Sus scrofa: one gene and its partner. The protein of the gene in region 2 purifies or fractionates together with the protein of the main gene of each other region. This does not show direct contact. Links are inferred from orthologs where the notes say so. Each region holds a gene or a part of one and is shown on either strand. Other genes may lie near its edges. The genes, in order: PPP4R3A and DHX38.

Evidence for each region.
Region 1: the proteins of DHX38 (region 2) and PPP4R3A purify together in Homo sapiens (co-immunoprecipitation; 3 studies listed by BioGRID and IntAct, with this or other methods). This does not show direct contact. The link is inferred for Sus scrofa from reciprocal best matches to the Homo sapiens genes DHX38 and PPP4R3A.

Annotation. Positions count from the first base shown.
Region 1 is NC_010449.5:113,124,004-113,127,824, reverse strand, and holds part of PPP4R3A (serine/threonine-protein phosphatase 4 regulatory subunit 3A), read left to right. Parts: intron 1-963; coding exon 964-1,041; intron 1,042-1,123; coding exon 1,124-1,240; intron 1,241-1,942; coding exon 1,943-2,098; intron 2,099-3,018; coding exon 3,019-3,150; intron 3,151-3,250; coding exon 3,251-3,353; intron 3,354-3,821. UniProt on the Homo sapiens protein: Regulatory subunit of serine/threonine-protein phosphatase 4. May regulate the activity of PPP4C at centrosomal microtubule organizing centers.
Region 2 is NC_010448.4:14,996,649-15,000,913, reverse strand, and holds the start of DHX38 (pre-mRNA-splicing factor ATP-dependent RNA helicase PRP16), read right to left. Parts: upstream 2,824-4,265; 5' UTR 2,457-2,823; intron 973-2,456; exon of another isoform or gene 889-972; intron 1-888. UniProt on the Homo sapiens protein: Probable ATP-binding RNA helicase. Involved in pre-mRNA splicing as component of the spliceosome.

The DNA of each region.
Region 1 (3,821 bases), on a different chromosome or scaffold from region 2:
CCTTGACTGATTTCTATGTAACACTGTTAAAACAGTCTTGATTCTCTAAACTTTGTGGCAGTCTGGAGAATCATTTTTAGTCATTTGATTTCCATTTGGTGGGATATATTTTAGCTGGATCTTGACATTGGAGATGACATTTAAGGTATGGCCTATTTGTACATTAGGCCATAGAAAAGTAAAAGTGGGAATCACTAGCATCACAGAAAATGTTTCTTAAACACCCACGGCAGCGAATGTGGGGTTTATAAATCCGTGGAAGGTCTCACACACACATACACATATTTAGACTTCGGCGGCATGTCTGTAAGGCTGAAGTAGTATGGAATTAAAATATAATAAAATCTTAATTAAAAATAGTTATAGACAAAATTGAACAGGAAGTCAGAAATGGTTTAATGTAGAATAATACGTGTTAAGTTATTTTGTATTTGTTTTGTGTGTGTATCTTTAAATAATAGATGTTTCTTAATTCCAAAGTTCTGAATTTAGCTTTTTAACTATTGCTGTTTTTAAAATGTGAAGGAAGTTTTATCTTCCTTTGAGAGGTTGCAGAAGCCCAGTGAAAATGAGGGGTCTACCAACCGTGTTTGTTTTCTTTCATAAAGTAATACTCATTCATTGCCATATTGCCTGTGTCTGCTTCCTACTGTAACAACATAACAGAGTAGTTGTGGTAGAGACCATATGGCCCACAAAGCCCAAAATTTTTTAAATGTGGCCCTTAACTACCTTAGGAAATAGAGCCTTGCTGAAATATAAAGTATAATCTTTCTGTATAAATCCCCAGTTTATCCTTTAATAATTTTTTCCTTCTCTTTTAAAAAACAGCATTGCCAATACCATCTTTCCCTTTTCCAGTTATTGCAATTTATATCTTCTACAGTAACATCTTGAAAATGTATTTTATTATATACTCTTACTATTATTAGCATAATTAAAATCTATCCTTTGATTTCACAGGAAGATGAAAAATTTCTGACAGATTTGTTTGCACAATTAACAGATGAAGCAACAGATGAGGAAAAAAGACAGGAATTGGTAAGAAATTTGATATTATAAAGGCCATGAAGCTAAAACAATACAACCTATTATGTTCACTTAACCTTTTTCCTAATTTCAGGTTAACTTTTTAAAAGAATTTTGTGCGTTTTCCCAAACGCTACAACCTCAAAACAGAGATGCTTTTTTCAAGACTTTGTCAAACATGGGTATATTACCAGCTTTAGAAGTCATCCTTGTAAGTTTGTTTCTCCTTATATTTAATTACCATTATATTTTTAACCCACAAAATAGTATATTTTTATGTAACATGCAACTGTTTGATTATAGCTAATATTTAACATCAGCTGTGTATTACATAAAGTTAAATAGCTATAAAATTCTAGTATTAAGAGAGTCCTTACACAGTGCTAAAAGGACAATTACGGAATTTTCCATATTTTTAACAATTTAACTTTGCATCATATTAAAATGCTGGAGTTCCCGTCATGGTTCAGTGGTTAACAAATCCGACTAGGAACCATGAGGTTGTGGGTTCAGTCCCTGGCCTTGCTCAGTGGGCTAAGGATCCAGCATTGCCGTGAGCTGTGGTGTAGGTCACAGATGTGGCTCGGATCCCACGTTGCTGTGGCTGTGGTGTAGACCAGCGGCTACAACTCCGATTAGACCCCTAGCCTGGGAACCTCCGTATGCCGCAGGTGCCGCCCTAGGAAAGACAAAAAGACAATAAATATATAAAATGCTAGAGGAGAAAAATAAACGGGAAAAAATGAAAGTATAACTTTATCCCATAGAACAGTAATTTTACATACAACATAATTTCCTTGACCTCTCCTTTTTATTGAAATATATTCTTATAATTTGTTAGGGTTTAGATTTATATAGCTGCAAGTTCCATATTTTTATTATTATAGAAGAAATAAGTGCTTTTTACCTGCAGGGCATGGATGATACACAGGTGCGAAGTGCTGCTACTGATATATTCTCATACTTGGTTGAATATAATCCATCCATGGTACGAGAGTTTGTCATGCAGGAGGCACAACAGAATGATGATGTAAGTAAGAAGTTAACAGAGCAAAAAATAACCAACAAGGTAAATATTATCTTCACTAACAGTAAGTATTTATACGTGGGGAGCTATAACTATATTTATTATTCATTTCTTAAAGATTTAGTCAGTGTTTGAGAAAAGTATACCCATGATATCATGACTTATTCTTCCCCTAAATTGGCTCCTGAGTTTATAAATTGTTTTACAGCAGTTATTTGTTAATGCTCAATTTCAATTTCTTTTAAAATTTTTGAAATTAAGTTTTTTAACTCTGAAGTTAACTTGCTATGTTATAATGTTTAAAACCATTTCATCAATAAATTGTTCTTCTGTATGTGGAATTATGAATAACTTCCCTAAGAAAGCATTGGCTTTGCTAGGGATAGAGGTCTCAAAATTATCAAGAATGATGAAGCATAGTCCTTTGGAAAGTATTTAGGATGCTTTCTTTACTGCCTGACCAACCATAGGGAAAACCATTTATTTTAAATGGAAACTTTATATCATTTCTGTAAAAGGAGAACAGATAAAGTTATCATTTGCCATAGAAGGAATCTATAAAAATGCAGTAAAAGAACAGTGTTATAAATTCTAGCTAGATAATCGTACTGTTAAAACTATGAAGCAAAGTCCCATTAGCTTTCTTCAGAAGAGAGATTTTATTATTAAGAGTTCTAAAAGATCTATTAGCACCAAACTGAAACTTTGTTTTTATTTTAATCCAGGGGATTTAAAGATAATAAAAAAAGAACTTTTTGGTACTATTTGTGTAATGTGTCTGTACCATACCTTTGGGAAACTACCATATATCCTATTAAAGATTCCAGTCAGTCATTTCATTTTGTTTGCAGTTAACAAGATAGCTAGAGCCAGGTATAATGCTATAGCATGTGTCATAGTATATGCTTTTTCCATCCTTACTCTTAGTAAGTGATCCTTATTATGTATATTTTTCCCACCAGGATATTTTGCTCATCAACCTCATTATAGAACATATGATTTGTGATACAGACCCTGAACTTGGAGGAGCAGTCCAACTTATGGGCCTGCTTCGAACCTTGGTTGACCCAGAAAACATGCTAGCTACTGCCAATGTAAGCCGTGGGCATTTTTCTCTTTTTCATACTCGTGTAATTTTGATTGCTGGTAGGAACCAATGCAGTTAAAGTTCATGAAGTGTTTTTGATTCCTTAGAAAACAGAAAAGACTGAATTTCTGGGTTTCTTCTACAAGCACTGTATGCATGTCCTTACTGCTCCATTACTGGCAAATACAACAGAAGACAAACCTAGCAAAGGTAAGATAATACAGGTTGGTAGTTAAATTCTTTGTTCTTAAACTTTGAAACTCAGAAGGTTGGTGTTAATATAGAGGTTTAGTAACATATTTTCAAAAGAGGTAATTTCAAGGTAAAATTTCTTTCAAAAGTGCTATAATCAGGAGTTCCCATTGTGGCTCAGTGGTTAAGAACCCAACTAGTATCCATGAGGCTGTGTCTTTGATCCCTGATGCAGCTTGGATATGGTGTTGCTGTGGCTATGGCATAAGGTGGCAGCTACAGTTCCAATTCAACCCTAGCCTGGGAACTTCTATATATCACAGGTGCAGCCCTAAAAAGAAGAGAATGTGCTATAATCAGAGATAATAGAACTGTAAAAGAAAATACTTAAGATACTTATTTGCTGCTTTCTGAATTTTGAAGCCATTTTTTTGTTAAAGCACTATTTGTATTTAGTTTCCATTTACATACGGAAACAAACAGCGT
Region 2 (4,265 bases):
GTAACTGTAGCCACATGCATATTTGGTGCGTTGACCTCTTCTCCAGGACCAAAATTCCTTTAATTACCTCTTAACCAAGACCTGTCCATCAAGTCACTGACAATCTCAAAAGATCTTCCTAATCCCACCCCAACACACATCCGAAATAGATACTTGCACGCACACACAGACACACCTGGATCCAAGAGGGCAGCATCCAGGCAAGAACAGACCTCACTAAGAGATACTTACTAGAGCATGGTGGTATCTCAAAAGGGAGTATAAGGATAACACCACTAGATTTAACATCAGAAATCTCTACTATCCAGGCCCTTGACATTTTCTGCCTGTGTGATTGTAAGCAAATAACTTAACTTTCAGTTAGGCATAATTTCCTCCCCCACTTATGGGGGGGAGAGCCCCATGGGATATGGAGTTCCCAGGCCAGGATCGACTCCAAGCCAGAGTCATAAATTACTCCACAGCTGCAGCAACGCCAGATCCTTAACTCACTGTGATGGGCCAGGGATCCAACCTGCTCCCCTGCCACTGCAGATCCCACTGCACCAAAGCATGAACTCCTAGGCATAACTTCTATATCTGCAAAGTGAAAATACTTTTTGCTCTATCTGATCCTTGGAGTTGTTGTGAGAATCAAACAAGAAAGTTTAGTAAAAGCACTCTGTAACCATAAAGAGTTACAGAAATGTGGCTGTTACATTATTTCACTTGCTGTGCTCCTAGACACTGATTGGATCCCTCATCGTTTTTTCTACGTAAGTTCTTCCTCCTCTCCCTTCTTTTAAACTACAGCTACAGCGGAGCAGAGATGTTGATAAGGCTACTATCCATGCAGTCTATACTTAAACGCATTTTCTGGGCCAGGTAAGTTCAGTAGAAAAGAATTACCTCACGGCAGTTGAAATCTGTCTAATGACAATTCATGTTCTCCAAAAATGTTGATGAGAAGCATCAGGCTTGGGAATGGTACTTCTGAAAAAGTATTTAGGTAACTGTAAGATTTCCTGGCACTCAACTTGTAACAAACTCCTCTTTTTCTTCCCACTATACACCATCTACTTATAAATATTCTGAATGCTTGACTAACTTCCCTCATTCCAACAAGTCAGTGAAGCAAAGAACTATCAAGTGCTAGGGTACCACCAGAATCCAGACTGTTGTGCCCAGCTTTAATTAACATGCAGAGCTTTCTAGAAGAATATTGCCAAACAGACAACACATAGTATGGTCAAAGAAACAAGAATTTCCTTTTTTAAAAATGCCATTAGGGGAGTTCCCGTCGTGGCGCAGTGGTTAACGAATCCGACTAGGAACCATGAGGTTGCGGGTTCGATCCCTGCCCTTGCTCAGTGGGTTAACGATCCGGCGTTGCCGTGAGCTGTGGTGTAGGTTGCAGATGCGGCTCAGATCCCGCGTTGCTGTGGCCCTGTCGTAGGCCGGTGGCTACAGCTCCGATTGGACCCCTAGCCTGGGAACTTCCATATGCCGCGGGAGCGGCCCAAGAAATAGCAACAACAACAACAACAAAAAGACAAAAAGACAAAAAAAATTTTAAAAAAAATGCCATTAGGTAGAAGGGAAAAGGGAAAGCTACCTACTGGTGATATCTGTACTCATGTGAGCAAATCCAGGAAGGTAGGACATACAGACTCTGCTCAGTAGTCTGAACTAGAAAAAATACCCCTAGTATGTCATTTTATGCAGGAGAACCTTGTCTGTCTTAATGACTACTACGCCCAGTGCCTACAACAGAACCATGTGAAGAATTAATGAATGAACAAGTTTAAACTGATTAAAGGAGATAGGGAGCCAGAAATTCCTAAAGACAGCAAGGACAGGTACTAGGAGCACAGGAAAAAGAGTTTGACAGGACAACGAGTGGCTGAGGAGTTAACTGCTGTTTTGCGAATAAGTATTAATGGTAAAGAAGCCACAAGAGGTATAAGGAAAATAGTGAAGAAAGAAACTGAATATATTCATTCAATAATTATTCACTGACAGCTTTCTGTGAGCCAGTCGTTGTTCTGGGCATTAGAGATAGAGAAGAGAAGAGACAAAAGTCCAGACCTTCTTGGAGTTGACATTCTAGCAGAGGATATCGCCTGATAGAGATACCACTGTGACAGAGAAGAGGAAGCCCAAAGAACCCCTACTGGGTTCGGAGTCCGTCTGGGAGTGGGCTAATGCGGAGGCCTAAGGAAGGGAGCAGGTGACGCCCAGGGCAGCATCCCTGGACCTCAGCGGGGACGCACCAAAATGCAGGATCTGATCAGAATAAAGAGGAAGGCCGCGGCAGGCTGTCCTGCGCAATATCCCTACAGCGAATAAGGCACACTGGCTGACAAAGACAAGGATTCCCAAGTCTAGGCCCAAACCCGAAAGAGGGACCAATATCCGCTGCCTGGAGCCACCACGACTGGGTAAGAAAAGGTCGGAAAGGAAGAAGGGACACTCACCTCACCACGCCCGACTCTCGAGACCTTCTGTCCCGGATTCTGGGGCGCTGGCGCAGCCACTCCTCGCTCAGAACGTCTCAGAAAGCCAAAACCCGCACCTTGAAAGCGGCCATCGTTGTCCCATAATACTTTGCGCGGTCCCCTCTATCCGTCCAAAGATACCATCGAGATCAGCCCGGAAAACGCGAGTTCCTAGTGCGGGGCGGAAGGGGACCACGCTTGTTGGACTAGACGGTCCTCCGCTGAGGCTGGGATAAGACATTTATTACAGACACTTCCGAGTCTCTTGGCGACCAATCACGGTTAGTCTAAGAGTTGGGCAGCCCCCTAATTGGAATGCGGGGTGGGATCGGCCATGTTTAACAAGGGCGGAAGTGACCCTAAGGCTTCCGGTCGCAGCGGGGAAGATTGGCCGTGAGTAGAATAGGCCCTTCCGCTTATTGGGCTGCTGAACTGAACAGACCGCGCGTTAATCACTGCGTTTGTGCGTTTTCTTTTTCCGTTTCCGTCCACTTAAGAGGTCGGCCGAGAGTTATTTGGCAACAGCCCCTGGGTTACTCTGGTTTAGGGTCGCCGCCGCGGTTGCGGAAGAAGAAAGGAGTCGCCGGCGTCGCGGCTTTTTGGAGAAAGTGTCAGGGTTGCCGAAAGCCTTGAAGTGCTGGCGAGGAAGATGACGTGCAAATAAAGTATCATTTTTCCCCGGCACTTGTGGGCCAGGAGTAGTCCAGCCACTGGCATCATAAAAAATAGGTATGTCGGGGATATTGGAAAAATGAAGACGTGCACCCCAGTGTGAGTAAAAGTCACTCGTAAGTTCACACGCAGTGAAAACCACTGAGGGTGTTTGAGGATATTCATTTTTAGTTATTTCCTATGTGAATATGTATATTTGCATTATAGTTAGGTTTTGTACAAAAGCGGAATCACCCTTTGTATACTACTGTTTTATGACTTTTTTCTTTATTACGAGGATTTTTCACGTATCTGAATTGTTAATCTATAACGCAATATGTAGTGACAGTGTGTTAGTATGTTACAGGACTGCCATCCTTCATTTCACGATTCTCCTACCGATGGCAGTGTAAGTTGTTTCCAGTTTTTCACTGTTAAAAACGTGACAAATATCCTTTTTACATAAATCTTTCTGCGTATGTCTGGTTATTTACTAGGAAATAATTCTCAGAAATGGAGTTGTATTTCAGGTTTCTTTCTAGACAAGGTTTGTTCTCTGTTTTCTAGGGGGGACTATGAAGCCTGTCCCTTCACTGACATTCTTGCCTTTATCATTTAATCTTTGCCAGTTTAATGGCTTTTTAAAATATAACTTTTTTTTTTCTACTTTTTGTGGCCACACCCACAGCATATGGAAGTTCTCAGGGTAGGAGTCAAATCAGAGCTACAGCTGCTGGCCTACACCAGAGCTGACGCAAGGCCAGATTCCCCCCCACCCCACTGAGAGAGGCCAGGGATCAAATCCACATCCTCATGGATGCTAGTTGGATTCATTTCCGCTGTGCCACAGTGGGAACTCCTAAAATACATCTTTTAATTTGCTTTTCTTTACTTAGCAGTGAAACTTTCCAAATTTTTTTTTTTCTCGTCTGTCTTCTTTCTGAATTCCTTGTTTTTATCCTTTGCTATAGACATTTTCTTAGGTGTGGTCTCAATTTCCCTTTCCTTTTTTCAACATTTATTCAATTCCACTCTCACACCCTCACCTCCCCACTCACTCTGATGACAACTTTGCTCTCCTGCCATTTCCTCCTCTTTTTATCAGTAACACGCAGAAATTGCTGTTTGGTTGAATTC